Struthio camelus: one gene and its partners. The protein of the gene in region 1 binds, or shares a complex with, the protein of each later gene. Links are inferred from orthologs where the notes say so. Each region holds a gene or a part of one and is shown on either strand. Other genes may lie near its edges. The genes, in order: STRN, STRIP2, PDCD10 and STRIP1.

The links.
Region 2: STRN (region 1) and STRIP2 share a complex: the UniProt entries of both Homo sapiens proteins name them as parts of the core of STRIPAK complex. The link is inferred for Struthio camelus from reciprocal best matches to the Homo sapiens genes STRN and STRIP2.
Region 3: STRN (region 1) and PDCD10 share a complex: the UniProt entries of both Homo sapiens proteins name them as parts of the core of STRIPAK complex. The link is inferred for Struthio camelus from reciprocal best matches to the Homo sapiens genes STRN and PDCD10.
Region 4: STRN (region 1) and STRIP1 share a complex: the UniProt entries of both Homo sapiens proteins name them as parts of the core of STRIPAK complex. The link is inferred for Struthio camelus from reciprocal best matches to the Homo sapiens genes STRN and STRIP1.

What each region holds. Positions count from the first base shown.
Region 1 is NC_090944.1:102,274,147-102,281,541, forward strand, and holds the start of STRN (striatin), read right to left. Parts: upstream 3,014-7,395; 5' UTR 2,939-3,013; coding exon 2,639-2,938; intron 1-2,638. Other genes in the region: HEATR5B (HEAT repeat-containing protein 5B), read right to left, coding at 7,164-7,395. UniProt on the Homo sapiens protein: Calmodulin-binding scaffolding protein which is the center of the striatin-interacting phosphatase and kinase (STRIPAK) complexes.
Region 2 is NC_090942.1:1,695,123-1,702,787, reverse strand, and holds the start of STRIP2 (striatin-interacting protein 2), read right to left. Parts: upstream 3,001-7,665; 5' UTR 2,983-3,000; coding exon 2,878-2,982; intron 1,249-2,877; coding exon 1,179-1,248; intron 1-1,178. UniProt on the Homo sapiens protein: Plays a role in the regulation of cell morphology and cytoskeletal organization. Required in the control of cell shape. Calmodulin-binding scaffolding protein which is the center of the striatin-interacting phosphatase and kinase (STRIPAK) complexes.
Region 3 is NC_090950.1:28,962,576-28,970,024, reverse strand, and holds the start of PDCD10 (programmed cell death protein 10), read right to left. Parts: upstream 3,014-7,449; 5' UTR 2,907-3,013; exon of another isoform or gene 2,738-2,906; intron 2,618-2,737; exon of another isoform or gene 2,437-2,617; intron 1,999-2,436; exon of another isoform or gene 1,905-1,998; intron 1,137-1,904; exon of another isoform or gene 1,021-1,136; intron 545-1,020; exon of another isoform or gene 504-544; intron 1-503. Other genes in the region: SERPINI1 (neuroserpin), read left to right, coding at 3,231-3,266. UniProt on the Homo sapiens protein: Promotes cell proliferation. Modulates apoptotic pathways. Increases mitogen-activated protein kinase activity and STK26 activity. Important for cell migration, and for normal structure and assembly of the Golgi complex.
Region 4 is NC_090965.1:4,309,879-4,316,854, reverse strand, and holds the start of STRIP1 (striatin-interacting protein 1), read right to left. Parts: upstream 3,005-6,976; 5' UTR 2,974-3,004; coding exon 2,923-2,973; intron 1,309-2,922; coding exon 1,239-1,308; intron 652-1,238; coding exon 577-651; intron 18-576; coding exon 1-17. Other genes in the region: AHCYL1 (S-adenosylhomocysteine hydrolase-like protein 1), read right to left, coding at 5,498-5,504, 5,722-5,842, 6,366-6,444. UniProt on the Homo sapiens protein: Plays a role in the regulation of cell morphology and cytoskeletal organization. Required in the cortical actin filament dynamics and cell shape. Part of the striatin-interacting phosphatase and kinase (STRIPAK) complexes.

The DNA of each region.
Region 1 (7,395 bases):
ATATAATAGAGGCAAGAATAATTAACAAAGATTCAAGAAAAATAATCAGAAAATCAGAACAAACACGGATATTTGCCAAGGAAAGCAAAATATAGGCACTCGATAGGAGGTATCAAGTTATTGAAAAAACAGCAGTAAACCAATAAGCAAGAACAGAAAGCAAGCTGTCTGACACATCAGCTTACATACTGTTTGAAACTCGAGGAAAAGGTGTCACCTGCATAAGCATCACATAATGCAAAAGAAAGGTATTCCTCAATATCACATTTAATTTCACGCAACTAACTACAAAAAAAAAAAAAAAAGGAGAGAGGGAGGGAGGGAGGGAGGGAAGGGGGGAGAGAGACAGATAAACAAGAGAAGCCTGAAGGGGGGAAAAAAGGAAGCTAGGTAATCACTGTGGAATTGATTTTCAAGGTGTTTCTCAGTAAGAGCATAGCTCAACCAACCAATGACTACAGAGCAGAAGCCAAACATGGTAACCCTGTGGCATACAACATCTAAAGTATTAAAATACCATAGTAGGTAGGAAAGTGAGGATAAAAGGACTACCTCTAAGAAACAAGATGAATGAGAGATAAACTTTATGGGATACTAAGAACACCATACACAATAGAATCTCTGCCACACAATCTCCCAAGAGAGTAGATAATTTAACATTTAAATTTAGATTGGGTGGAAGACTAATAAAGTACAATCAGGAGCATTGTATCTTTATCTCAAGAGAGAGAAACTGCATGACCTCAGATTTCCATTATTCAGTTAAACACTTCCAAATATATAGGCCAACAAAAGGCTTCAGGAGTGTGGAATCTGTTTTTAATTAATACTGCTCATCATTCAGTTATGCATACGCAATTTCCAAACGCCATCCTAGTAGTGCCGTTGAACCCCTAACACAAACCTCCCACATGAATCAAAGAACGTTCAATTGTAAATGGTCACAGTAGACATAACATCTATAGCCGATGCCTATAGAGACAGCCAAGAATTCTGCACCTTTCTGAACATGACTCTGCAGCAGATAAATGCTGTTACAGCTTATGGTAATGCCAATCACAGCTAATTACAACTTTATTGAGATGTTCCGGCAGAAGCCAAAGGAGTTCAAGCAAATGACTTGTAATTGGGTTATATTCCCAGTCTGCCACTGACAATACACAGCTCCGGCAAATGGTTTAAACCTGCCTCCTATTTCATCCATAATACTTTCAAAGCTTCTGAAGGGTACTAGGAGCATGGGAGGCCCCTGTTGAGAGGCATTATAAATATGCATCGTGCTTTTGCTATTCAAGCACTGGCAGAATTTCTCAGATCCCGTAAAACAGGTTTTTTCTCCAAAGCAGTTTGAGACATCTGTATCAGCTATGAAAAACTATCAAGATGCTTACTTATCAGACTCCAGCAGATACGTGACAGCTGATGTTCCAAATACACATACTAAATTAGTAACCTTCTACATAGTATTCATTATACTGACTAGAAACCTGATTCAGTTACTAACAGATTCTTCACTGAATCATTCAGGTTACCATAAGTACTGCATCTCCCTCTTGCCCTCATGACCACTTCCTTGAAGTTCCAACAAGAGATCCCCCAACGAAGGCTGTCACGTCTACCATTCTTCTCACAGCGATTTTGTTTACTTTACTACAAAAAGCACTATTAAAAAGGCAACTCTCCCACTAACTAAAAAAAGAGAGGAGTGGTTTGCATTGCTATACAGGCGAAAGACAGTGTTGACAAAGACAGGACTTTCAAGGAAAGAAATAGAAAGAAAAGGGACGGACAGGAAGTAGAAGACAAAGAAGGGAGAGCTAAAAAGGAAGCTGAGCAGACACTTTTCAGCTCAAACACGGGCCACTGAGAAGCAAACAGCGGGCTACTGGTGGTGCGGACAGAGTTCAGATTTGTAACAGAGACTTTCTTGTCAACGAAGCTAAAGAATAACAACAACAAAGGTTGTATTCTCCGCTGTTATTAGAGTTAATACAGCGCACTCATCACTGAAGTATCTGACAGCGGTGGCTCTAGGCCAGCACTTCACGAGTTGTTTAACCACAAGATCACTATTAAAGCCTTTAACGTACTAACGAGCACAACCGCCCGGTGGCTTTTTACCCCCCCCCCCCCCCCCGCGACGTGCCCGGCCGCGCTGGTTTTGAACAGCGGGTTACGAAACAGGTGGCCGGTGCCCCAGCTGGGGGGGCGGGGGGGGGAGGAGGAGGAAGAGGAGGGGACCACGAGCCGCCCCACAAAGGAAGGGGGATTTATGGGCGCGCTCTGCCCAGCAGCCCCCTCGGGCGGCAGGGGAAGGCCCGCAACCCCGCGGCCTCCCGCCCCGCCGCCGCCGGCAGACCGCTCAGCCGTGTGGGGGCCCCAGCAGCTCGACCCTCGCCGCCGGCGCAGGCCGCGGGGGGGCCCAGACCAGCCCCACAGGCGCCCCGCGCAGCCCGGCAGCGGCCGCCGCCGCCATGTCGCGCCCCTCCGCGCGGGGCGGCCCGGCTCGGCCCGGCCCGGTGCAGGCAGGGGCCGCGTTGGGCCCGGCGGGGAGGAGGGGTGGGGGTCGCTCCCGGTGGGGGGGAGGCGAGGCGCAGCCGCGGGGTTTGGGGCAGGGGGAGGAGGTCGCGGGTGTTACCTGCAGCTCCGCCCGCTCCGCCTCCCACTCGGCGCGCTCCGCCTCGAAGCGGCCCCACTCGTGCTGCAGGAAATGCAGGATGCCCGGCACGCTGTATTGAGCCCGGGACGCCGACACCGGCGCGGCGGCCCCGGCCCCGGTGGGAGGCACCCCGCCGCCGCCTCCCGCCGCCGCCGCTGCTGCCGCCGCCGCCGCCTCGCCGGGCTCCAGCCCCGGCCCGCCGGTCGGCGGCGGCAGGAGCAGCGCGTTGTTGTTGTTGTTGTTGCTGAAGAAAACGCCGGGCCCCGCTTGCTCGTCCATGGCCGGGCCGGGTCGGGTCGGGTCCGCCTCGCTCCCCGCCGCCGCCGCCCGCACCCAGCCGCGTCCCGGCAGCAGCAGCAGCAACAACCTGGGCGCGTCCCGCCCGCCGTCACCGCCTGACAGCCGCCCCCGCCGGCTGCTACCGGGGCCCGGCGGGGACAATTCCAGAGAGCGATTCGCTCCGGCCCGGCCCGCAGCATTCTGGGAAGTGTAGTTCCGCCGGGCGGCGGGGCGCTCTGCGAAGCGGAGCGGGGGGGAAACGTCCTTTTCCTCCTCCGCGCTGCCCTCATTTCGAGGAATGACCTTATAGGAAGGGAGTCCCATCCCCCTGAAGCGTCAGAGAGCAGTAAGCCTCGAACGGAGCGGGTGGAAATCCCCCCCCCCCCCCGCGCGGCCTGATCCCAACAGCAAAGGGCGCGGAGCCCTGAGGCCCCCGCGCCCCCCGGCCGGCTCCCCTCGGCCCCTGCCCTGCAAGGCCGCTGCAGGGAGAGGGACGGAGGGCTGCGAGGAGCAGGGAGGGCGCAAGGCCCTCCTCCACGGACTAACGAGCAGCTCCCTCGCCAAGGAGGATTTCAAGGGCTTTGGCATACTAGCGGCCCAGCCCGGGGGTGTAAAGGACAGGCATCTGGCGCGCCCCCGCTCAGTCCGCAGCGCGGTGATGCCTTGGCGCAGCAGCGCCACAAAAGTTCTGCCAAATCCTGCAATTTCAACTCCTGTCTTTGATCCTTCCTTTTTTTGGCTATGTTCTAGAGAATTGCTCTGTCCAAAATACTGAAAACTATAAATCCATCCCAGGACTACAGTGATTTCTTGAAAACCTTAAGATTAATGAAAAAGAGGACAAGAACATTTTTGGGGGAATTACTACACTGCCTTAACTGAGAGGAAAGAGAAAAAACAAACTTCTGAAACCAGTAGCAAAGCCCTGGGTTAAGGGGGGGGGGAGGGGGAGGAAGTCTGCAAGGAAAAGTGAGCATCCTTCATGACTGCAGCTGTCAGAGGCACTGCTCTCTCACACCTCTCCCAAGGATGCAAGAAGATTCAGAGTCAAGCTTGCTTTCCATGCCACATAGATACTAACACAAGAGGCTTGCTAAAGAGAGACAAAATGCAACACTACCAAAAAGGCTTTACTGCTGGGTTAAGCACTAGCAACCACTCTGTCTTCTCCACTTGAACATAAATGTGTGTAAAAGATCAAACGAGGCCACTGAGAATGCTGCATGTAATAGGATCACTGACTACAGAGCCACGATGTACCCAGACACGCTCATGTGATAGCAGTGCGTGAGGTGCTGAGAAAGAGCCCCAGCACCCTTCGCTGCACCCTGCACGCCCAGGAGTGCTTCTCTGCTTACTCAAGCAGCACTTCCTCTTTCTAGCTGCTCTGAAATCATACTTGCCCGCTTCTTAACCTGGCCCTCCAAAATAACAATTGTGTCTTGAGGATGATCCCTTTGCATTTTTAGGCAGAAGAAAAGAAAAATAATTAATGAAGCCTAGGGAAAGAAAAAAAAAAAATCAAGAGACTAGAAGTCATCACAGAAAGCACAGAACAGGGAATGCAGTCTGGGGGAAACTTAGTAGAGAAGCAGGGTAGAACAACAAGGCTCATTAAGAAAGGAAGGAAATAGTGGAGAGAGAAGAGGAAAGACTTCAAGGGGAAATAGAGAATTAGCTTCATGAAAAAAACAGACTAAAAAGCCCATCAACAAAGAAAAACATTAAAAGGAAGGGGACAAAAGAGAAGGAAGAACAAAAAGCACTACAGGCATTTCACTTTTTTTTTTTTTTTTTTTTTAAATCAAATGAAGTTTTATGCCAAAATATTATGCAAAACCACACAGTTATATTTTTAGTATCCAGAGCAACAAAAGCAAATGCAGGCTAGAAACCTGAGACGCCTGAATGCAAATGAAAGTTGAGCACTTTGTATACTGTGTGACAGTACACAAAAAAAGAAAACCTCTCTCCACTACCCCTCTACATCTATCTAGCCCTGTTTTCCCTTCCACTAACATTTTTACTACGTTTCTACAGGCTTCTTAGTTATGCTTGATTGGTATATTTACTCCCTTTCTCCCTCCCTCCACCCCCCACCACTAAATTTTCAGCCATCTTGTAAACTAGAGTCAAACCAGAACATGATAGTGCTGGGACACAAAATTAAGGTAAATAAAGCTGAAGTCATAGACATAGACAAAAAGTCTACAACAAACATTCAAGAGTTACCAATTACTAGACTACTTAGGGAAAAAACATCTAAGAAAAGTTATGAGGTTATTTTTTCCATTTTAATTTGCAAAAATCTTTGTGGTCAACTTTATATCTAGAAAGAGTTCCCCTGATACTTCAACTGCACTTTCTCTCAAACATTAAACAGGTTTGGAACTGCTCAGCAAAACAGGTTGGTAATGTTTTTTTTGAAACAGTTATTAGCAACTAATACATTTTAATCAATTCCCACTACAGAGAAGAAAAGTGAATATTGAAATTGCTTTCCTTCTTGCGTACCGCATACTATTTTTGCTGCTGCATGTATCTTTAGTCCAGTAGGACAGTGGAACAAGACTAGAGAGTTAAGATTCGCATGTTTATGAAAACTATTTGAGAGATTAGAGTTTCCACCAGTGTTGACCTCATGTTAGTACTAGAAGATTTGCTGTGAAATAAAAGCTTTTCTTTGCATAAGTACCCAAAGGGCAATATAAAGCTCTTGTGGGAAACGAGACTTAGAGGCAAGTGACTACACAAAAATGATCATCGACAAATATTTCGGCCAATTCTAATTACTATCTGTTTGCTGTATTTGGGTTGAAGTAGAAACTTCTGAAGCATACAGAGTTTTTACAGAACCCTGCTATACACGTAGCAGAAAAACATCAGAGATGAAACTTAACTGTACCATACAGTCCTATCCTAGGCTTCTAGTTACATGGCCTGTCACTATAAAACAAAGATGCATAAAAAGATCCCTGTGGCAGTCTAGAAATTTGACAACAGTGTCCAAAAAAATCTCTGTATATTAGGTCTTGTATACACAAGAAAATACATGGTTCTATACTTCTGCCAACAGGAAGGGTGAGGTCTGGCAGAAGACAGACATGACCAAATGGGAGCCACTGGCTCTGTGTTGTAAGGTTAACACAGCACTTGAGCTCTCGCTTAAGCTCCAAAATCCCCAAATCAACCAAACTCACTCACATGTGAGGAGAGCCAAGTGCTTTTCCAGAAAGAAAATCTTGGCAATGGAAGAAAGAATTGGAGTTACCTGGCTCACACTTGTGTTCTGCTTCTCTATTTTCAGTAAGGATGCAAAGGAGTCAAGTCATTTGGTTCTGCAAACTTTATCAAGGACTGGAGATTAGAGAAAGCCAATGAGACTAAAAATTGCAGGAAAAAGCAAATATCTGGGAATCCAGGCAAAGAGAACCACCATATTTAACTAGCGTCTGGCAGAACAGAAAGACTGCTAACCCATGGCAACTATAGCTACTGAAATGCAGATAGCAGGCAGTCCCCTTCACAACCTCAATTTCCAATGTGCTTTTTAAAAATTTATCTTAGAAGAGATAGGGAATAAGATTCTTTGAACCCTTTATTAATGTTCAAGCATGGAAATGGACCTGAAAGAAAGAGATACACCACATAAATAAGGACATTTCACTATAAGAACATGCTTGAAAAAGACTAAAAACTTTCAATTCTTTTTTTTTTTTTTTTTTCATGCAAGCTGAAGTGATCTACTAGGTATGACAAGCCCTTACCCTAGTTTGTTTTTAAAGGGAAAAAGTGCATACTTCTACACTTGAAATTCCCCGTGATATACAGTAAGTACTGCATAACAGGTTCTCCTCCCTCCACTGTGTTAGCCTGTTGGCACAGTGGTAGGATAACATTTGCTAGATTTCAAAAACCACTCAAAAAGGTTCAGGGTAGCTTTAAAAAAATAAATAAAACAATTTAGTAAGATAGAGAATACTTTTTGGTGGTGGATATTTATAACACAAATTCATAAATATGATCACATTCAATTTCTTAAAAATCTATACAAATACTAGCAACACCACTTCCCTTGTAATGCATGGATTTCAAATAATTACACAAGCTCCATTAGATAGCCTTTCACATACAAATTACACAAAATTACAGACATATGCAGTAACACATCAGGAATAATGTAATGCTTCTGACTATTTAATGGTCCAAAAATAATACAAGTAATTCAAAAAAAGCTAGTTTTAAGTTTAATTGTTGGGGTGGAATGTACTGTGGGTGGTGGTTGCCTAGCAGCTGCTTTTGCTTTGCTGGCCTGACTTGCTCGGACTGCAGTTTCCAGACGTGTTTTTAATTCGGGAGCAGCTCCCATTACTGTCTTGAAAGCATGTGGGTAAAGTGGACCAATGTGCATTAGATTCTGAAGTGCAAACTCATGAAGATCCTTAGATGCCGTAGAT
Region 2 (7,665 bases), on another chromosome or scaffold:
CAGACACGGCGGCATCCGGAGGTTGCTACTAAACTCAGCTTAATTCTCATCCTGATTTCACGGAGGGGGAAGGGAGGCAGAGGACCCGCGGGTCTCCCGGCTCACACCATCTGCCCCGGAGAGGACACAGATATCCTGATCTGTATGGCACTGAAATCAATTCAAATCAAAATAGGATCCATAGCTCTTGCTAAGTTATAAGGAAAAGCTCTAGTGCTATCGCTCTGAAACTCGCTGCAGCTTTAGCTGATTTTCTCGTCCCTTTTTCCCTTCCGTTTCTTTTTCTGGCCTTTCACCACTTCCAGGCAGGTCTGGAAGGGGACCTCACCCTGGTCCTGGCTGCCAGCACAGATATTTGCACTGCATTTGCTACGCTTTTGTAGGGTTTTTGTGTGTGGGGGGGGGGGGAGTGATTTTTGGTCACTATTAAGTCAATTTGCAACAGCAGGGACCACAGGAGCAGCCAGCCGAAACCTGCCCTGATTTCAGGCCGACGGGTTTGAGTGTTTCAGGGAGAAGCGGCTTTGGGCCGGATGCTCCCGGGATGCAGTGTAGATGCGCGTGCCGGGTGGAAAGGGAGATGCTTGCCAACCTGCGCTATCCAGCACGGCACGTGGCTGTTCCTCCAGCCAGCTGCATGGCCTTCATTTTTTCCCAGATCATTTTTGACCCCAGAATATTGTAGCCTTTAGTTGGCTGGAGAAGAGGACAACATGCTTTTTTTTTGTTCAGCAGGTTTCTAGGCAAGGCTGCGACTTGGTGTCACAGAAGTGCAAAACTGAGTCGCGGTAGGAAGGTACCTCGAGACCGTCTAGTCCAACCCCTTTGTGAACAGGACCCAGGACCGCGTCCAGTCGGGCTTTAGGTACCTCCAAGGATGGAGGCTCCACAACCCGCCTGGGCAGCCTGCCCCAGCGTTCGACCGCCCGCGCGGTAAACGGCGCCAACGCTGCCTGGGGGCAGATCAAGCCAGGAAAAAAATATAAAATAAAACCGACCTCTGCCCTTCTTGGACACCAGCCCTATCAACGTAGGCCTAAGCCTACTCAAGAGCCATCTCCTGTCCAGCTCGCCCTCTTCCGCACGGGATTTCTTGCCCCGGCAGGCACCCAGGCGTAGCCGAGCAGCGCGGAGACGCGGCCGAGCGCCCCGGCCTCCGCTGCGGCCCCTTTCTGTACCTGATAGCTCCACGGCGAAGCCGTCAGCGTCTCCGTACCCAAACTCCAGGTTGGGGCAGTCCACCGAGCCCTGCGGAGAGCATCCTCGGTTAGCGGCCGAGGCGGGGAGAGGGGCGAAACGCCGTGGCGCTGCCTATCCCGCAGGCTGTTGCGGGGTGTCCGTGGCTCGGAGAGGCACGACACTGCCCCGGGGGGCCACGCGACCGCTCCCGGGCCGTCGGGGGCGATCGGGGCGGTCCGCGGGGAGCCCACACCCTCCACGTCGAGCTCATGCATAGACGATGGTCGTTACCACCACGGGTCTCCAGGGCCCGCTCGGACTGTTCAAAATACAGCGCGAATTGGGAAAGAACACATGAAAAGCAGCCACATCAGCAGCGTGGGAAAGCCGCGGCAGGACCCAAACGGCCGGTGACCGTTTGCTGCTTGCAGCGTCCCCGGGCGGGTTTCCCCGGGACGGTTTGACGCCTCTGCACCCGCCGCCCGTGGCGTCACCCCGTCCCTTCGCTTGTCCGCGCGGCTCCGTTTCAGCCCACAGGCAAGGAAATCCCTTTGGCCGCAAACGCGCCCCGGCCCCGTGGGAACGCGGCGCTCCCAGCGAGTAACTGGAGCGCGAAGCTCTTCCGCTGGATCGGGGCGGAGACGGGCCGAGCGCGCCGCGGGCGGCCGGAGGAAACACGCCAATGAATAACGCGGTAAATTAGGTTAATTTGCCGTTCGGAGCCCCCGAATCCCGTTTCGGCAGCCAGGCTGGACCGGCGCAAATGGTCGTTACTAGCGGTCACGGCAGCTGGGGACGCGCAGCTCCGGCCCGGAGGGGCTCAGCCCTCTCCCCTCCGCCTCCGGATCAAGCCTAAAACCAGGGACGTCCGAAAACTCAACGTTTCCCCCAGTTTGTCCTTAACCCCGATGCTTTGAGGTGGCCGCAGAGGCATTTTACACCCTCTGCGCGCAGCCGCTTCTTGCCCGCGGCACCAAGGCAGCCGGGATTTCGGGAGCCGCCGTGCCCGGCTCCCCAGCGCTCAGCGGCGAAACGCAAACAGTTACTCTAAAGCATGACGGAGGAGGGTGGAAAGCGCGTTTTGTTGGCATTGCCGCTTTGCACCGAGGCTCGAAGCACTCGCGGTGTTCGCCCCTGATGCCGGCTCCTCACGCGGGATGGGGCCGGACGCGAGCCCGCCGTAGGCAGGGGAGACCCCTCCGAAGGCCGGGAACTCGCACCTCCGCGGCGCGGGAAGGCTGGACTCGGCCGCCCGCCCGACGGCACCGCTGTCACAGCAGCGGGGCAGCGGCGGGAGGAGAAACCACCCAGCGGGAACCACGTCGCGACGCCTCCGCTCCCGCGCTGCGGGCGGGCGACAGCCTCCCCGAGGCGGCGCGGACGCTCCCGGCTGCGAAAAGGGATATTTGCGCCTGCCGCCCCGTCGGGGCCGGCGCCCGCTCCTCTGCGAGGAAACGGGTCAGGGAAAGGATCCGGCAGAAAACCCACCTTCCCCGCGCCTCTACCCCAAACCCAGCCAAACCCGCGGACCTGCGGGCGAAAGGGGGCACCGGCCCCGCCGGGCTCCCCCGCGCCCCGACGGCGGCCCGGCCCAAGCGCCGTCCGGGCTTCCTCGTTGTCCCCCCCCCTTACCCCTGCCCGGCCCCCCCCGCCCCAGACGGGCCGCCCGCCCGCAGCAGCGGCCACCCCCGCCCTTACCTCGGACTCCTTCCGCTGGCTCCTGAAGAGCTCCCGGCCCTTGGGCTGGGGCTGGGGGGGCCGCGGGGCCGGGGCCGGGGCCGCGCCGCCGCCCGCCGCCTCCATGCGCTGCGCCCCTCTGCAGCGCCGCCGAGCACGTGGGGGGCCGAGCCTCCCCGCGCCCCGCCCCCGGCCCGCCCCCGCCGCTCCCATTGGTCCGCCGCCTCCCGGGGGCGGGGCCGCTGGACACACCCCCCACGCCGCCATTGGGCCGCGCCTCGGAGGGGGCGGGGACACGGGTGTGTGTGTGGGGGGGTGTCCTTCGGGTGCAGGGCTGCAAGGGGGGGGGTTCGGGGCACCGCGGGTTTGGGGGGGGGAGACGGGGGGGGAGACGGGGGGGGTTCGGGGCACCGCGGGTTTGGGGGGGGAGACGGGGGGGTTCAGGGCACCCTGGGTTGGGGGGGGTTCCGGGGGGGGACAGAGACGGGGGGGGTTAGGGGCATCCCGGGTCTGGGGGGGGGGGAGACGTGGGGGGAGACGGGGGGGAGGTTCGGGGCACCGCGGGTTGGGGGGGGTGTTTCCGGGGGGGGGAGACGGGGGGGGCTTCGGGGCACCGCGGGTCTGGGGGGGTGTTTCCGGGGGGGGGGGCAGAGACGGGGGGGGTTCGGGGCACCGCGGGTTGGGGGGGGCGGAGACGGGGGGGGTTCGGGGCACCGCGGGTCTGGGGGGGTCCCGGGGGGGGCAGAGACGGGGGGGGTTCGGGGCACCGCGGGTCTGGGGGGGTCCCGGGGGGGGGCAGAGACGGGGGGGTTCGGGGCACCCCGGGTCTGGGGGGGTCCCGGGGGGGGCAGAGACGGGGGGGGTTCGGGGCACCGCGGGTCTGGGGGGGTCCCGGGGGGGGCAGAGACGGGGGGGGGTTCGGGGCACCGCGGGTTGGGGGGGGCGGAGACGGGGGGGGTTCGGGGCACCGCGGGTCTGGGGGGTGTTTCCGGGGGGGGCAGAGACGTGGGGGGTTCGGGGCACCGCGGGTCTGGGGGGGTCCCGGGGGGGCAGAGACGGGGGGGGGTTCGGGGCACCGCGGGTCTGGGGGGGTCCCGGGGGGGGGCAGAGACGGGGGGGGTTCGGGGCACCCCGGGTCTGGGGGGGTCCCGGGGGGGGCAGAGACGGGGGGGGTTCGGGGCACCGCGGGTCTGGGGGGGTCCCGGGGGGGGCAGAGACGGGGGGGGTTCGGGGCACCGCGGGTCTGGGGGGGTCCCGGGGGGGGCAGAGACGGGGGGGTTCGGGGCACCGCGGGTCTGGGGGGGTCCCGGGGGGGGCAGAGACGCCTTTGGGCAGCGCGCCCCGGTCGCTGTCCCCGCCAGGGCGCCGCCAGCCCCCTCCGAGGCGCCGGGGGCCTCTCAGCCTTCGCCTTTATCCCCTAAGGCGGCAGCGCCGAGGCAGGATGCGTCCGGCGGCGGGGAAAGGCCGGGGTGGCGCTGGCGACCGTCGCAGCAAAAGCAACAGCTTTTCCCAGCCACGATTCAGCCCGGTTTCACCAAGGGCAGCGCAGGAGCAGGAGCGAAACAGCTGCCCGTAACCCCAGCCAGCGGCCTCCGCTTGCCCCCGGCCCCGGGGGCGGCGGAAGGAGCCACCAGGACGCTGGAAAGCCGCCCGCTTTTGCCCAGGGGCCCCCGCAGGTTTCTGCCCCCCCCCCCGCTTTTTTTTTTAAAAAACCCGGGCAGGTTGCGCCTCCCTTCTGGGCAAAGCCGGCGGCCGCAGCGCCGGCCTCGGCCCCCGCCGCCAAGCACGCGCCGCAGACACTCGCCTTTCCGATGTTTTATTTGCGTTTTGAGATTACAGAGTCTTTATTGCTGATCTAATACAATCACTCATACATTAATAGTTAAAACATCCTTTTGAAAATGTTATGGTTCCAAAGTTTTAATTTCCTTATGGCAGGGTTTTTTTTTTTTTTTTTTTTGGACAGGTTTTGTCCTACGGTTGCTAAAGTTCAGAACAGAATTATTTTCCTTATACAATTTTTGCTGGTGTTACCTAAACCTCCTTTTCCTAATTCTTTAAAAATGTGTTACATTAAAAAAAAAAAAAAAGAAAGAAAGAAAAAGCCATTACACGTTTAATTTAGAGATGATCACAGAATAGGATTCCAGATTGATTAGGAAAAGCCAAGCAAGCGAAAAAGCGGAACGACATGGAGAAAAGCTTTAAAAAAATCGAGATTTGGGACGATTTTTTTTTTCCCCCCTTCTATTTACCCGGAGGATAAAGTGGGCTTAAAAAATCGGCACGAACGAATTCACGGATGAGGACAGCACCACCATATGCTCCACTAGCGACAGACACAGGGGAGGGAAGCGACTGGTCTGAGCTGTAGCGAAGGGTCACACGGATGGATAGCGCTTTTCCTGGGGCAGATCCCGCTGCGTCCCTGAGCCCCTTTGCCAAGGGCTGCCTCGCTCAGCGCGACCCCGCACCTGCGTTCCCTATCTGACTCGAGACATCAAAGACAGGCCGACGTCGCCGCCTTCATCGCACGGAAAGCGGAGGGAAAGCTGCCGGCGGCCCTGCGTCGGGCCGTCGGCTGCCGCCGTCCTGCCGCCCCCGAGGGGAACGGGAAGCGTCGCCCCGCCGGGATCCCACCCGGCCCTGCTGCAGCAGGAACCGGAGCAGGTCTCGGAGCGGGACCAGACCCTGGGCGTCCTTCACGCGCCTGTCCCTAGTGCAGGCGCCCCTTCTTTGCGGGCTGCTGCGGGCAACGGCTGGGCTTCGCTCCTGGACCAGGACCCGGCGTCGCTGGCCAGGCTGGGGAGGTCCCAGGAAGCACAGGGATAACCGGAGCCGGCCTCAGCACAGAGAGAGCAGAAGGACCAAGCGCTTGGTCAACAGGCAGGGTCACAGGCCGGTGGCAACCTCAAGGGATAAAGAGCGGGCTGAGGTATCGGATACGCGTTTCTCTTTCCGAGCCCGTTCCAGGAAAGGGCAGTGCTCCCGCGAGGCGGCACGTTCCCCAGGTCCCGGCTGCTGGCTCTGCTCTGACGAGGCTGGCGCGCAGATGAAAACCTCCGCTGCGAACCTCCTCTCTCCCTTTACCCCTTCCACGTGTGCAGTCAACACGTCCGAGACCTCGAAACTACATGGGTGGAGAAGTTCCCGGGGCTTCACCCAGAACGGGAAAAGCCCACTCGGGCAGCACAGCCTTCGCGTGAAATCCCAGCTCCGGAGAGACCAAGGGGATGTCTGTGAATGACTTCACCGAGAGCAGGATTTCACACCACAAACCTACAAATAACAAAAGAAACTCGGTTTGTTGGCTGTTGCAGACTAGGCTATTCCAGGGTGAGAAAACAGGTCCAAACTTGAAGTTTACAATAGTTCAGTGGACTCTTCCCAAAAATCTCACGATCCGAATAAAATTCACGAGTGAGTGAAGATTATTTAGAGCTTGTGGTTAACGATCACTCTCTGATGCATCCCTTACTTTTCTAGTTAAGCTAGTTGAGAAGTTGCAAACTCTTCAAAGAGAAAATTGGAATAGAAAGCACACTAGAAAACTTGCTCCGAAGACAAGCGGACTCTGGACAAGCTGACTTCAGATCTCGTCATCAAGACTCGGTGGCGGAGGCCGTAACTCCACAGTTTGTCCTTTCTTGTGCGTGAACAAGCTGCCACAAAAAAATTCCCCTTCTCATGATGCCAAAGGAGTCGGAGAGGACAAAACAAGACTCTCGCGTGGCGACAGTACTCGGGTACTGACGCAGCGACCACAGGTGACGTCCACGTGCTCAGGTCTCCAGCACAGGGGCGCTAAGAGCTACCTAAACTACTCCGGCGCTTTTTAAGAAGGACCACGTTCTCCGCGTGAGCCGTAGAAGTGATTCTGACGAGACACTGAGACTTCACAAGTTCCCCCGAGAGGCGTGCTATGCTGTTTGCAGCGTTCGGGCAGGACATCTTGGGCTAAAACAAGTCACTACGACAACTCTGTTCTCTGACAGCTCTGACTTAATCCATCAAGACTTGACATGATTGAGGCGATGCTGAACTCTGCTTGTGATCCTGATCGCTGCACCCAAACCAGGGGTGGTGAGCGTTCGGGGGTACGTCTTGTACAGTCCAAGGGGAATTCCAGATTTGATTAGGTTATAAACAAGTATTACCAGAAAATAAAACTCCAAGAGCTCCCGTGAGAAGCTGGGAAATGTTTCCGTTACCACAGGTGTCTTTCTACGGAACGAGGCATTGATTCAACGAGGACTGAAACTCAGCTCGGCAAAGACCTCGTGTTAACGTTGGCCTTCGAAAGTGGTCAGCGCCGCTGTCTCCTTCGGCGGCGCGCGCGGACAGCGAGCCGGGGCCGCGTTTCGGAGAGCCCCCTCGAAACGCCAGCAGCAGCAGCCGCTGTCAGCCAAGCGGCCAGGCCGCTCTTCGAGCGTGGGCACAAAACGCCACGCAAAAGCCCCGTGAAGAAGACAGCTTCGGTTGACTCATCCAAGGTTGGCACTCGACATAAGCAGCAGGAAAATACTGCGGAGCTGCTGAAGAAGGGGGTGTCGGCGGGTCTCAGCCCTCCGCCGCCATCCCTGCGGTGTCGCTCGGGGACGGCCTTGGCGTGGGCACGTCTCTGCCCTACCGGCTCCTAACGTGCGCTGGGGGATCTCCCTCGCTAACGACTGGACCCTTCGTTACAGCTTTCAGCAGCGCTAAGGCAAAATGCGCTGGCTCGCTGGCAGACCCGTCCCTCGGGCAGCAAGCAGAATTAAGAGAGGTTTCCCCGGCAATTGCCGGCGAGATTTACTGCTTCGCTACTAA
Region 3 (7,449 bases), on another chromosome or scaffold:
CATTAACTTGCCTGCTAGCACTATACTTCAATTAGATTGTAATCATTTCCCATTGTATAACTTAAAAGCACACAGAACAAAGATTTTAAGCTTTGTACTTAAGATATAGAACTACTTTTCTTCTTTCAAAAATTTAAGTGACTTTATGATGCAGTAAGCATTTGCAAAAAGACTGCCAGAAAACACTGAAGTAGGTGATCTTTCAAGCAAACAAGGCTTTGTCTAAATAAGAATACTAAGAAGGTAAGGCTGGCTGGCTTGAGATATTTGGAAGTTAATTCCTTGTCATTCACTTTCTGAAGGCCTTGGCTTCAACTTTCTGAATGGCAAGCAAGAAAAACTATTTCTACATATTGCGGAGAAATACCTCACCTTCTCTGAAAACAAACAGGAAAAAAAAAATCCAAAACCCACCGCTGAATCTAGCTGACAAACATGGGTTTCTACTTTTAGTTACTGCAACCACTAGAGAAACCAAAGGCTTACACTGAAGAAAACATCACCTTTAGCTCTACTTTCATTCCCTGTGCAGCACGCTAGCCACCTGGAGAAAGGGAGGAAAAAAGGAAAAAAACGTGAAGATTTTTTCCTTGCAATGAGGCAAGTAAGGAGAAAAAGGTTAACGTGTGTATTGGGGGCAGGAAGAGGGATGAGGACTGAAAAGCCAAGTCTGAGCATTACAAATCGTCTCCACTGTGCTGTCTGAAAGTGGTAGCAACACATGAAAAAAATCTCAGTGTAGTATTTCTGCACTGTTTTTAAAGTTCATTTTGTTCACTTTTCTGCCACTGTGATCTTTCCTCCTCCCTCCTCCGAAATGCTTAGTGTTGCAAGTATGTTTTCCAGTATTGTCTGGGACCTACAAAAACCTGATATTACACCAAGAAATACTGAATTATATAAGAGAGATTGAATAGCACAAAACATTATGCCCAATAGGCTTGATTTTAAAAATTAGAAGCGATTTCAAAATTTAAGTTTCAACATTCACTTTCAGACCATTCACTGGAATTAACATACAGTTCAACTAGGATGACAACTTCTGTATTCCAAAAACCAGTAGAAAAAACATGAAAGTTAAAAAGGCACTCTGCTGCAATAGTTCCACATTCTAATTTGTATATCCAGTAGTTTCCCTGAAAAGATAACAGAAAGAGTATCATCAAAAGATAGCACTCAAGTTTTAAAAGGCTCTTTAAAACACATTCTACTGAAGAGATTTGCAGTTTCCAAACACTCGCTGAAATACACTATAGCCACTTATGCTTTGTCAGAGTGAACTCAAGTTTAACTGCTTATGCATTATATTACCGCGATTCTTATGAGTGATTCAGAAGTCACACAAGCAATTCACAATAAACCCAACTAGTCTACTGCTAGATCAACTTTAAAAAAAATCTTAATATAAACTTATTCTGAAATCACTCTTACAATTAATTCACATTCTTCTGCAATGCTGAACTTCAAAGTGAGAATGGTTTAGTTTTCCTAACATATCTACTTTTTGTGCTTGCCACAGGAGGAACAAGAATAGCCTCCTGGACTGCACCCCAATTTCATTAGTTACCTAAATTAAAAATATTATAACTGACACAGGTCACGACTCTTAGGATACATAATGGAAACAACGTATGTCAGCTTCTCTTTCAAGCTCTTCCCCACCTCCCCTTTGGGAACTTGAAGGTAAACATAATATTTCTGTCTCTACTCTTTTATCAAATACTCCAAGAAACTAGATACAACCAAAACCACTTTCAAACACACAAACATGTTCCAACAAGTAAATGAATAACAGAAGGCAACTACTTCCTCTGATACAGCAAAAACACAAAACCTGGCCCAAGGTTTCAGCCATCTACCCGCACCCCCAACACCTGTAAGCTGCGGGCACCAAGCCAAGTCACCAGTTAAATGAGCAGTTTAGAGGGATCCTTCAGCGTTCACTGTCCCTCCAGACTGTTGTTGCAGCAGCCCCGCACAGCGCTGCCGGCCAGCTGAGCCCGGGCTGCCGGGCACGGTCACGTTTGGCTTCGAGCAGGGCAGCCGCAGAGCTGCCCCTTTTACAGTGTTTTTTTTTTTTTGGGGGGGGGGGGGAGGAGGAAGAGAAACGCTTTTCCTCCCACCCCCCCCCCCGCCTAGCGAAACCCTGCCCGCACCGCCGGAGCGCTCCCGCTCCGCAGCGGGGCCAAGCCACCTGACAATGCTCCTCGCAAGCGTTAGGACGAGCTAAAAATACACATCCGGGCCTGCCTCTGCCAGGCCCGGGCGTCCTGCCGAAGACGGCTGCCGGACCGGGGGGGGGGGGGGGCTGGCGGCGGGCACCCCCCCTCCGGCTCCCGCCGCAGCACGGGAGGGCCCTGGAAGGCCGCGGGAGAGGGAAGTGCGGCGAGAAGTAGGAGCCTGCACCAGGCCTCAGACCAAGGGGAAACCGGTCACCTGCCTGCCCGGGCCAGACCCCCGCGGCCGGGCGGGGAGGCGAGGGGAAGGGACGAGAGGGGGGGCGCCTCCCTCACTCCGCGCCGCACGGCGAGGCCCGCCCGTCCGCCCGCCCCGCGCTCACCTCAGGGCGGCGCTGCCGGCGGCCCCCGCCGCTCGGCCGCCCCCCCCGCGCCCCTCAGCCAGGCCCCAATGCTCGAAGGCGTTTTACGCTCCTAGCGGAGCGCAGCCTGGAAAGGAGAACGAGGCCCTACGCAAACACACTAACGACCCCCCCCCCACACACACACAGACCCCAAACCTGGCCCTCCCGCAGCGCGCGCGAGACCCCGCGGGCACGCGCCAACAGCAACCCGGCACCTTACCGTCCCCCCCCCCGCCCCGCCGAGCCCCCAGCGCTCCTGAGTGGGCTTCGTCGCCGCGCCGGAAGTGCCTGCGAGAAGGAAGAGTCTGCTGCTGTTACCACACACCAGGCGTTGCCCGGAACTAGCCAGCAGCCGCGCAGGCTCCTGGGATTTGTAGTCCGCCGCCAGCCACCACGCGTCCCACAATGCAACACGGCGCTCGGCCCGGGGGGAGGGGAGGGGGGGGCGGAGACCTGGAGGAGGAGTAGGTTGGAGGGGGCGCCCAATCGGAGCGCGGGGCGGGAGGAGGGGGCGGAGCTTCTGCGGGGCGGGGCGGGGCGGGGTGGGGTAGGGAAGAATATCCAGGCGGTGTCCGAGGCGCGGCGGACACTGCCCGCGGCGGAGCGGCGGGTGCGCTGGCAGGTGAGCGGGCGGGGGCGTGTCGGTTGGATGGCTGTGGCGGCAGCAGCAGCAGTACCGGGGGCGGTGAGTGTGCTCGTCCCTTCCCTGCCAGCGCTTGGGGAGGGAGGTTTCCTCAGCGTGGTTTCGTCCCGTAGGTTGTGGGAAGCTCTCCGCCGCCGTCGCTCGGTGGCGGTAACGGCCGCGGGGAGCGGCGCTCCCCGCGCGAGCCCGTCCGTTAGCGCCTGAGGGGAGGCATCGCGCGCCGCCTTCCCTCCCGCCGCGGCAGGGACGGAGGCGGTGAGGGAGGAAGGTGTTTCCCCGCCGGCAGGAGAAGTTAGAGAAAGGGGTGCGGGGGGGGCGGGGGAATAGATATAAAACCTGCTGCTGTTAAGTCATCCGTTGTGCGCGTCTGCACCCGCCTGTGGCGCCCGGGAGCGCGTCCGCTCTCCTCGGCGGAGGCGAGAACCGCGCCTCTGAGGAGACGCTCAGCTCCCCTTCGCAGCGTCTTTATTGTGGTACGGGCGCTTTGTCTCCCAGTGATTCTGTGGTTAAGTGCTGCAGCAGTACTTAAAAACTCGTTCGTGCCGGAGGGGGTGATAGAGTACAGGTCTGTGCGGCTCTTCTGGTAGCTGCCCGAATAGAGCTGTACTTCTGAAGCCCTGTCCTGACGGGCTTCCCTCCTTTGAGGCACGGGTTTTTCCTTTCGTCGGAAATCACAGGGAAAAAGATTGGAAGATATATTTTAATGAATTACCTGGCCATCTCCTAGTCCCCAGGAAGGTCCAATTACGCATGAAGATTTTGGGTAAACTTTTATACGGATATTTACAGCAGCTACTCTTTCCCTTCTCAGTTAAAATGCTTGCGTGCCCTGACCGTTTGACCCATGACTCTGTTTGTTATGAACTTTGTGACTGTGAATAATCCTTTTTGTCTAAAAGCAGAAGTTCCAGCTTTATCTTATGGTATCCTCCCTTTTACTTATAACAACATTGTAAAGCATTTCAGTGCTCATAAAACATATACATAGTATATATACCTGCCATATACAGAGTATTTCATTTTTTGTCCATTAAGAAATTTAAATAAACTTGCACGTTATTTGCTAGAAACAGCTGTGTTACTGAAAAGCTTTAGACTTGAATTTTTAATTGTATTTAAAATGAATTTAATATTGTTGAAGTGTGTAATTCAGTTTTAGGTTTGTATCTGCATTTTGCATACGTCAGGACAAAAACTTTTTTTTTAAATTACTGGCTAGCGTGGCCTAATATTAACAAGGCCCAAATTCTGATGCAAGCAGGTGAATGAGTATGCAACTGATTAAACTTAAGAAGCATTATCTGTGACTCCTAGTAGCAGTGAAATGGCAAAGTGGGAAGACTTCTGACATCTGTCTTTCTGAACGTACATATCATGCACATATACCCACATATGTTAACAATTCAAAACACGCTTCACATAGGTAAGCAAGAACACTTAGAAGGACACCTGGATTATTGCACTTCCTTGTGTGTACAAATTTTTTCCCTTTTCCCCACCAGTTCTTGTTGTAATCAGATCTATGTATGATCAGTGTGTCAAATATTTAATATATCTGGCTGTTAAAGGATCAGTCCTGTAACTTGCATGATATGCTTGAAATGTTTCATTAATTGCCTCTTATCTTTGATACACCAAGTCTTTTATCTTACCAGTTTTGAAAGGACCAGTACTTTAGTTTGATGAAAAACTATGCCACCCTGCTTAGATGAGAAACTTTACCAAAATGTCATCTTATAGATTGAGGTACATGCTTGTCTATGGCATTTTATGCTTGTCTATGGCATTTTATGCTTGTCTATGGCATTTTATGCTTGTCTATGGCATTTTATGCTGTCTATGCTTGTCTATGGCATTTTATCTTTTCTGTGAAATCAGTGTTTTAAAATAAAGCCACAAAGCTTCTAAAATAGAATATTCTAAACTATCTCTCTCCCTCTATCAGCTATATTTCCTAAGTTCTGTATTTTTTTTAAGCAGGGAGGTCTTAGACCAGATTTATACTTCACTATTTTCATTTCCTTCACGATTTTCAGAACTGTTGTAGCTGTAAGCTTGCTTGAGTGTGATGAGGAGTTACCCTCTAGGATGCGAGGGAGAGAGAAGGAATGGTTGTTGTTACCCTTTTTCTTTAAGGGAGGTTTTACCCTTTTACCTAACCCCTTTAGGGTTAGATATTGTATTAAATAATCCCTTACCTTAATAATGCAAGTTTTAAGATACGTTTACCCCACAACAGATTGGTACTTCTATGGTCTAGGGTATAGCTTTTTTAGATATTTGAAAATCTGTGTAGTTTACCTAAGGCTCAGCTTTCTTCATTCTGTTCTTTCTAACCCATGTGGGGAAAATAACAGGAGAAAAAAAATTACGTAGCTAAATGTTCATGAAAAAAAAATTCAAGGTAGTTTGAGTATCACCTGTGTAACTGAACTTGAGAAAGACATGTAGCTAACAAATATTTGCATAACACAAGATGAAGTTAAGAATACCACATTTTTCCAAGTTATTTTCTTCATATCCTCCCAAAAGGGAATTTGAAGTTGGCAAAGCGTAAAAGATGAATTGCGTGTTTTGATGGAAAGCTGAAAGTAGGGCTCTCAAGACTTAGCGGGGAGAGCAAGTAAGTTTGAAACAATTGCTTATGCTTAGGAAGGAGTGGGTTCTTTTTCTGCCTCTTCTTGGTTTGGTTTCAATGGTGTTGGATGGGGGGAAGAGAGAGAATTGGAATTAAAAGAAACCTAAAATCAAAAGATACAGCAAGAAGAAGTCTTTAAATTTCTGCTGCATTGTAAAATGCATGGGTGTGCACTAGAGATCTCAAATCCCCCTGTACAGCAAGGGTAATGATGGAAAGATGCTGTTTAATCTTTTGAATCATTTTTCTCTGATAAAAGCCCAGAAAGATCTCCCTTGTTTGATGTTACCTTTGGTTATCAGATTTGGATAACAAATATATGGGTATTTTCAGTAATGAGTAGTTAGGTATAGCAAGCATATGTGTCTTACAGAAGTAAGGAAGGCAGAAGGCAACCCAAATCTTCCTTTTAAGAGAAAAAAAAGAAACCGTAAGGGTTATCTTACCTTTGCCATGTGATAAGTGAGTTCTGTCTGTGAATGGAAAGCTATTCAGGACTAGTTAGGTGAATGATTATCAAGAGTAAAATAGAATCTATATTCTTTATTTTCAATTGTTTTAATATCTGCAGGGGAAAGGGCCTACTTACATAACTGATGAGCACTATAATCTGTTTTTTGCTCAATCAGAGCAATCTCATATTGCAAGTATATGAATCTGTAAGCAAGGGACTGGATAAACTTCCTCTGTGGCTGGTTTTGAATTGTAATTTGGAGAGGTTCTCAACATGTTTTGACTCTAAGGGCCTCTAGTTTAAGACAGATCTAACACTTGTCTGTGGAATTACATGAAGCAGCTAGGAGAACACAAGGGGAAGGTCTGTGGCAGTGTTAAGGTTATGTTAAATGCAGACATGAGTTCCAAAAGTTATCTTGACCACACAGTCTCTTCATCCTATGTTTTCACATTCTGTAGTCAGTTCAAGATGGTTTAGTTTATTTGTTTTATTTTAAATCAGTATTCTTGAAGTCACCACCCAGCTACTTACCTACTTTTTTAATCTACACAGTCTTGTGTGCCTGGGCTATTAAATGCTTTAGCTACAACACTGCTGGCTCACATGAAAAGATTGATTCCAGAAATGACTGGGATTAACACACCTCTGAGCTGTGAAGTGCGCTAAGTTGTTAAGCATGCTTTGGGGTTTTTTATTTTGGTTTTGGTTTTTTTTTGGTCAGCTGACTTATTAAAAAAGTGAATGTTAAAGCATTGCAGCCTTTTTCTAAATTTATTCTATAGATACAAATGTCATGGGCTTACATGTAGCTTAATTCCACTTCTATTGTTGTCTTGCAGAACGTAATGGAGAACAGTTAGTGCTAGTAGCATTTTTCACATTAAGATCTAAAATCTAGCTAGTCTTGGCTCTTTAGATAGGTTGCTGGAAAATTACTTTCTTGTTTTTTCTCAATTTCAAGTTTGCTCTGTGGTTGCTCTTCATCTATGAAGATGTACTTTTGACATGGTTGAACACCTTTTAAAGTAATTTCTAAGAGTCCATGTTCTGTGTAGGCAATATATTATTCTGTCTTTATAAAATACCTAGTGAATATGAATTATTATCAAGTACCTCTGTCCTATGGTCAG
Region 4 (6,976 bases), on another chromosome or scaffold:
CCATCTCTTGTCCCGCACTGAAAAGCCAAGGCAGCCAGGCTGAGGGCACGTACAGCCCCTCTATCTTTACTGGACATAAACATTACAAGAAAAACTCAAAGCATGCACAACGAGGGAAAGTAGGACTGCCCCACTGAACAAGGTGCTCATGAGAGGCTGCAAATAAGGTATGTGCAGTCTGGGCAGAGGGACGTCTCCTGCCTTCCATCACACAACTAGATAAATCACACCCATCCGAACTGGCTTTAGCAGCACTCAGACATCAGCGACACCCAGCAGCTGATAGAAAACGAGCTGGCTGCTCTTGCTGCTGCCTGGATTTTCCAGCACAGCCACTGTAGCATTAATGAACCATCTAGGACATTAATACAAGCGACTGCTGAACAAGCCAGATGCAGCAAGCTGCGTTCCAGGGCCCAGCCAACGCACATCAACCAAGTCTCAAATACAAACCACGTGAAGACCGTCAGTGCCTGGATCCTGCTTTCTGATGCAGTAGTAATGCATCTATCCTGGCACATCTCCTCCAGGAGATTCCTGCCCAAAGTGGGGAGAAGTACAAGAGAAGGTTCTCACCATGGATCCTAAAGTCTTCCTCAAAGCACTTGCGATTGAGCTGGAACTCAGGCCCTTCAGTGTAGCTATACAGCTCTGCCAAGGAAGCACGGAGAAATCAGTCAGGTTTCTCCCAACATGCTCTCAGGGAGCTATGTGCAGACACCAGCCAGGACACAGCAGGGAAACCACAGGGCAGAGCCTGGGCAGCCAACCTTGGCTACCCAGGCACGGCTAACTGCTACTAAACACTAAAACAGTCGTTTCTACCTTTTCTTTTTTTGATTTATGTGCTTTCACTGCTAGACGATTTCTAGGCAGTGTTTCACACCAGAGTAATGCAGCTGCAGCGTCCGTCAAGCTTGAGATTAGCCTTTTCAAAGAAAAGATGCCGTTTCAAGAACCTGAAGAAAGGTCTCTTTCTCCAACAACCTGCAACCAAGCTGTCAGAGAAAGCAGCAGCCCGGCCAAGTTAACTGCCATTGTAACCAAGATGAGAGAAATGCAAAACGCAAACCCAGGATACGGCAAAGAATTAATTACATGACATCACATCCCTTTTAACATAAAGGAGGCGTTTAAAGACATCAACAAAGTCATAGTGGCATTGACAGAGTTCCTTTAATTGCTACCAAGAAAGAAATCATGACTGATTCATCGATCCATCAGGACAATTCCCTTACCAGAGAGCTCTGCTGCCCATTTATCGGTATCTGCATATTCAAACTCCAGATCTGGGGACTCCGAATAACCCTAAAAGTAAAATGAAAATTCAGTTAAATTAAAGAATTTTTCAGGAAAGCAAGAATCCCTAAGACATTCACAATGCACCTCACCCTGCTGCAAGTCCAGGACTGTATTTTCAGTTTAAGAGATCCAAAATTTACCAGCGGCAGCTTAAACGTTACCAAGGCAACCCCTAAACCACCTCCTGCATCTCGATTCGTGCCTTCTCCCTAGCCTTGCTGTTGGTAGCCAACAGCCGCATTCAGCCAGGCTGTGTTTCTGCCACTGCACCACCTGTAAAACACCTCAGGACTCCAAAGGAAAAGGCCAAAACATAAACCAGGAGACGGGGCACGTTTAATCTCGGGAGGGGAGCAGGTCAGATGGAAATGGGGCGCTCTCAAAGCTCGCCTGTTTTCTACAGACACGGGCCAGCACGAAAATCTGGGCTACCACCCCAGTACGGAGCCAGCTGGCAAGGGAGAAATGCCAAGAGAATTTGAATAGTGAGGGAAGCAACCTCAGGCAGCTTTAGTGAGGTTGGGAAAACACTGAGCCAGGAGCAAGAAGCAGTTGCCTCACAGGAACAAAACATCTGTTTCCGTTAAGCAAGTCATCAGCACGGACCCACAGTGCAACTCTCGTGCTTCTTGCGGCATCTGCTCCCGCGCGAGGGGCGGATTCAACCGGCAGCTCGCTCACTTGCCAGCGGGGTCGCAGGTGACGGGCTGAGTCACCCTGCAAGGGCTGGAAGCGACTCGGGAGCCTCGGGGAGACCTGGTGGCCCTATCCTGATGCACGGCGCCCCGGCGCTGGCAGGCCTCCCGCGCCGCCGGGGAAAGCGGCCACCACCGCTGAGCTGCACCCAGGCACGAGCGCTTTCGGGGGACAGCGCCCACGCACGAGGACCCAGGCGCTGGCAGGCCAGGGACCAACGGACCGCGGGAGGGGGGGAAAGGGTATCAGAGCAGCCTCTCCGCCGCAGCGGGCCAAGTCGCAAAGGCAGCGCCAGCGCCCCTGGAAGGGGACGCGCCGTCCGGACCTGGCGTCAAGCGGTTGGAGCCTCCCTGGGAAAGGAACCAGGTCGGAGGGTTTTATAAGAAAATAAAAGTCGCCATCCCGGGCTGGCAGGGCCGAGAGGGGGAAAAACCAGAACCAGCTCTAGCCGGGTGCGAGCCCCGCAGGGCCCCTAAGGCCCGAGGGTCGCCGCGGCGCCACCTGCCTCCAGGGGCACCCCCGGCCCGGGGGGAGCCGCCTCACGAGGAGCCGGCGCCCCGCCGAGCGGCGCCGTCCTCGTCCCCCCGCCGAGCTCGGGAGGAGCCGCCGCCGCCCCCCAACCGGCTCCGCTCGGGCGCGGCCCAGGCCGCCCAGCCCCACACGCCGCGGCCCGGGGCTCGCCGGGACCGGGCCGCGGCGCTGACCTCGGAGTCCTTGCGCGGGGGGCGGCCCAGGTCGCGGGCCTTGCCCGGCGCCGCCGCCGCCGCCGCCCCGCCGCGGGCCTTGTTGTTGCCGGGGAGCGGCGGCGGCGGCCCCGCGCCCGGCCCCCCCCCACCGCCGCCGCCGCCACCACCGCCGCCGCCGCCCGGCTCCATGTCCGCCGCCCTCGGCCGCGCGCCGCGCCGAGCTCTCGCGAGGACTCACCCCCCCTTCTCGCGGGAGCGGCAGGGAGAGCCGGGGCAGGGCCGCCGCCATGTTGGGAGTGGCGCCGGGCTCCTCCCGGCCGCGTCACGGCGCCGCGCGTCACGGCGGAGCCCCGCCCTCCGCCCGGCCCCAAGCGCCGAGCCCCGCCCCTCCCCGGTAGCCATGTTAGGTGTGGCACATAGGTGACCGCGGCCATGCTGGGAGTGGCACTTCCTCCCTGCCGCAGCCCAGGGAGGCGTCGCCCGACGCGTTGAGGCCGCCATGTTGGGAGTGGCAGGAAGGGGAAGAGCTGCGGACCTGGAGCAAGGAGGAAGAGGCTCCATTGGGGGGGGTTGGAGGGGACCCGATCCCAAAACGAGGGGCCTGGGAGACAGCAGAGGGGCCTCGACAGGGGGAAACCCCAGATCAAGGGCCATGGGGGGCTCAGACCCCAAATAAAGGGGCTCAAACCGCAATAGAGGGAGTGGGGTGAGGGAATTAAACCCCAAATCAAGAGGCCTGGGAGGGCTCAGAGGGGCTCAAACCCCAAACTGAGGGGCCTGGAGGTGCTGGGGGGGCTCAAATGTGACCCAGTACCCCACTGAAACTGCCCCGCTGGCTCGCTCTTTCCAAAGAAGATGCGCACAGCACGAGAGAATTGTTTTCCTAATAGTTTAATTAGACTTTAATGATTTATTGCTCATCTGCAAGGATTAATATTGCATTCATTAAAAATCATTCATATACAAAATAAACCTCTCCCTCCCAGCCCGCCGCCGCCGATCCCAGCTGCCCTGGGCGACATGGCTTACGCGTGGCCAGGGCCGCCGAGGGGGCACGTGGCCGCCGGGCTGGGGGGCAGCCGGCGGGCCGAGCCCCCCGCGGAGGCCGAGGGGGGCCGCCCGGACCCGCGAGGTTAGCGCTCCCCGAAACGGGGCGCAGGGGAGACGGAGCGGCCCGGCACCAGCCCAGGGCGAGAGACAGCAGGGAGGAAGAAGTCAAAGGAGAAGGACGGGGAGGGGAGGACAGAGGGAGATCGAAGCCACGAACAACCCTCGCTTACATCTTTCTCCAGTCCCGGCCAAGAGAAAAAGGGAGTTTTGGGCTCCGGCGGGGAACCAGCGTGGCCACCGAGCAAGCGCAGCCCAGGGCGGCACCAGGAGGGGCCCCGAGGGCCGGGCTCACCGCGCCACGGCATCTCAAACATCTCGGTACCGGGAGACGCCGGCAGGGCACGCGGCGGGGGAACGAGCCCCCTCGGACAAGCAAAACGCCGGAGCCGGGGGGTCTCCGTGCTGCGGGGGGGGGGGAGCAGAGAGCCATGGAGCGAGGGGGAGAGGAAAAGGAAAGAGAAACCTCACTGGGTTGCAAGGACTTTCCCCCCCACCCCGGCCCCCCGGGACAAGCTGAAAGAGATGGAAAAAGAGAAACGGCCGTCACCAGCGAGACCTGCGGAAGGGACGAAAGAGGCGACAGGAGCAGCGGAAAGGCGCCGCGGGGCAGCGGCGAGGCTGGCCGAGAAAGCCCAGCTCGAGGCCCGGGGCGGCGCAGGGGAGCCAAGCGCTTGGCGCAACGGTCCGCGGACCCGGCTGGGGCACGGCGAGCTGCGCCATTACCCAGGCGGGTTACGGCGCCAACGGGGCCAAGGGGACAGCGCGGGGAAAAGGCTCATCTCTGCGTCCGTCTCAAAAGCAAAGCGAACCTCCCCCCCCTCAAAAAAAAAAAAAAACCCTCAAAAAGCACCTCCGCGCTTCCAGGTGGGAGAGGCAGCTCCCCAACTGGGGGCATCACCTCACCATCTCCATTGCTTCCCCTGCTTTAAAACATCTCTAAGAAAGAAAAAAGAGGGGGGGGGGGAAACGAAACGTTTCTAACTCAATTAAGGTGCAGTTTGACTAAAAAAAAAAAAACAAACTTAGGAGAGATGAGGATAATGCTGGGTAAGCGACCCCCGTCCGAATTCAGATTAGCACCCTGGACCCTACCCAGCCAGACACCCAACTCAGGTCACCGGCCCTCTCTGTGCCAGGCCCCTGGCTGAGCTGGGGACAGTCACCTATTCGCGAGGTGGCCAGCAGGTGCCACTCTGCTCCCAAGCAGCTTTAGGAGCATTGATCTAGCAGCTAAAACTGGGCTCTTTAAGGCAATTTAGAAGTTGCAGATAATCCACACAAAGAAAGAAACTAAGATAAGGTAGAACAGCATCTCCGTATCTGCAGGTATCCCAACTGAGACTAATGCGGGCTGGAAAGGTCAAAAAATAATAATAACAACAACAACTGCAGGAATGAATCGCCCTTCACATGCCAGGAACGGAAACCTCTTTCTGGGAGCGAGGGCTGAGAGCCACCGGTGGCTTCAGCCACATCAAAGCAGGAAGCGAATCCCAGGCTGTCTGCCAAGATCAGACAGAGATGTGATCACGTGAAAAGGTGAAGCAGAGGAAAAAATGTGGCCTTAAAATCACACTGATAAAAGAAACATAAAAACAGGTTTCTTTGTTGGTTAAAAAAAAATAAACTAAAATAAAATGATCTTTAAAAATAATCTCTCTAATGTTGCCTTGTGTGGTCTGGTCCTTCATGGATATGGTCCATCAGTATCTGGAAGAGAAGTGGGGGGACAGTGAGGGTGCTTGGGGACAGAGCCGGCACGTCCCCAGCAGCCCAGCTGCGATTTGCAAAGGGGTCACTCAGCCCCCGGGAACCGAGGCTGCCCCAATGCACGAGATGTCCCCAACAGCCAGCAGCACCCGCTGGGTGAGGAGCCACCAGCCTCCGCAGCTCCTTGCCCTGACAGCACTGCCAACCCGGCACTGACCTATAGTAGTTGGGTTTGAAAGGCCCGTTTTTGTTGAGTCCCAGGTATTTTGCTTGATCGTCCGTCAGTTCTGTCAGGTGGGCGTCAAACGAAGGCAGGTGCAAGCTGGCGACGTATTCGTCTGGAAGGAGGAGAGGTAAGTGGGGATCAGGAGGGCGCAAGTTCCCCCCTGCCCTGGCGCTGGGGAAGCCGAGGCGTGGACTCGCCACGTGGCCAGGGCACCCCACTGCAAATGCACACAAAGACAGGGAACTAAAATAGGGTCCAGCTAGGCAGTCCCTGCCGTTTAGCATCATGGATTCACTGTGACATAACCCTAAAACAGAGCTAAGCCTACACCACAGCACTGAGAAGGGCTGGATATACACCGAAAGGCACAAAGGTTGCATGTAAACTATCTAACCAGGAAATTTTCAGGAGAAGGGCTACCTGTCAAGATGCAGCCATTAAGGAAAACAGATTGAACAACCAGCAAGTGTTTCAAGGATGCTGGTTTCCTTGAACCCATCCTCTGGAAGTTTTGTCCAGCCCAGATTTGAATTTTTCCTTACATCCAAAATTGTTGGCCCCACAGCAGCCCAGGGAGGACAAGTCAGTCCCGAAACCCAGTTCTGGCTGCCGAGCAGATAGCTTCCTTCACTCACCCATCTTCTTCGGCAGCAAGTAGACGTCTTGCTTGTAACGGCCCTCGGGAGCGTTGTAAAGCTCAATCAGAGCCAGAGCCTGCAGAGATCACAGGGGACAGCTCATGGACAGCCACCAGCCAGGGGAGCACTGAGCACCCGCAACAGCTCACGGCAGTGGAGATAAGGAGGAAAGGCAATGCTAAGGGTTTGCGAGTCTGAGGGAAGGGGCAACATTTCCAAAATCTCCTGAAGGAAACATTTTTATCTAAGGTACATCCTTCTCTGGATCTCCATGATCCGACTGCTGCTGGGAGAGGACCAGAAGGATTGAAAATGAGACATCACCCAGCCTGTTTGCAGCATCTGGGCTTAGCGCTTGGAGTAAAACCAGAACATGAGAATGGAAGAAAGGGAGCGGCTCTAATTCTCCTACACCGTAAGGCTGCCGCGTCATGTGGAAAGGAAGAGATTGTTCATTTTAAGCTAACAGCCTTGCTCTAAAAACCACGGCCACTCCTTCCGCAGAAGTAAAATTGCATCGCCCCCCAAGTGCCAGGCCCAAAACACCACCTCGTTCCCATCTCTTTGAATGGGCAAGTACGGGGAAAAGCAAATTCCCTCCATTAGCC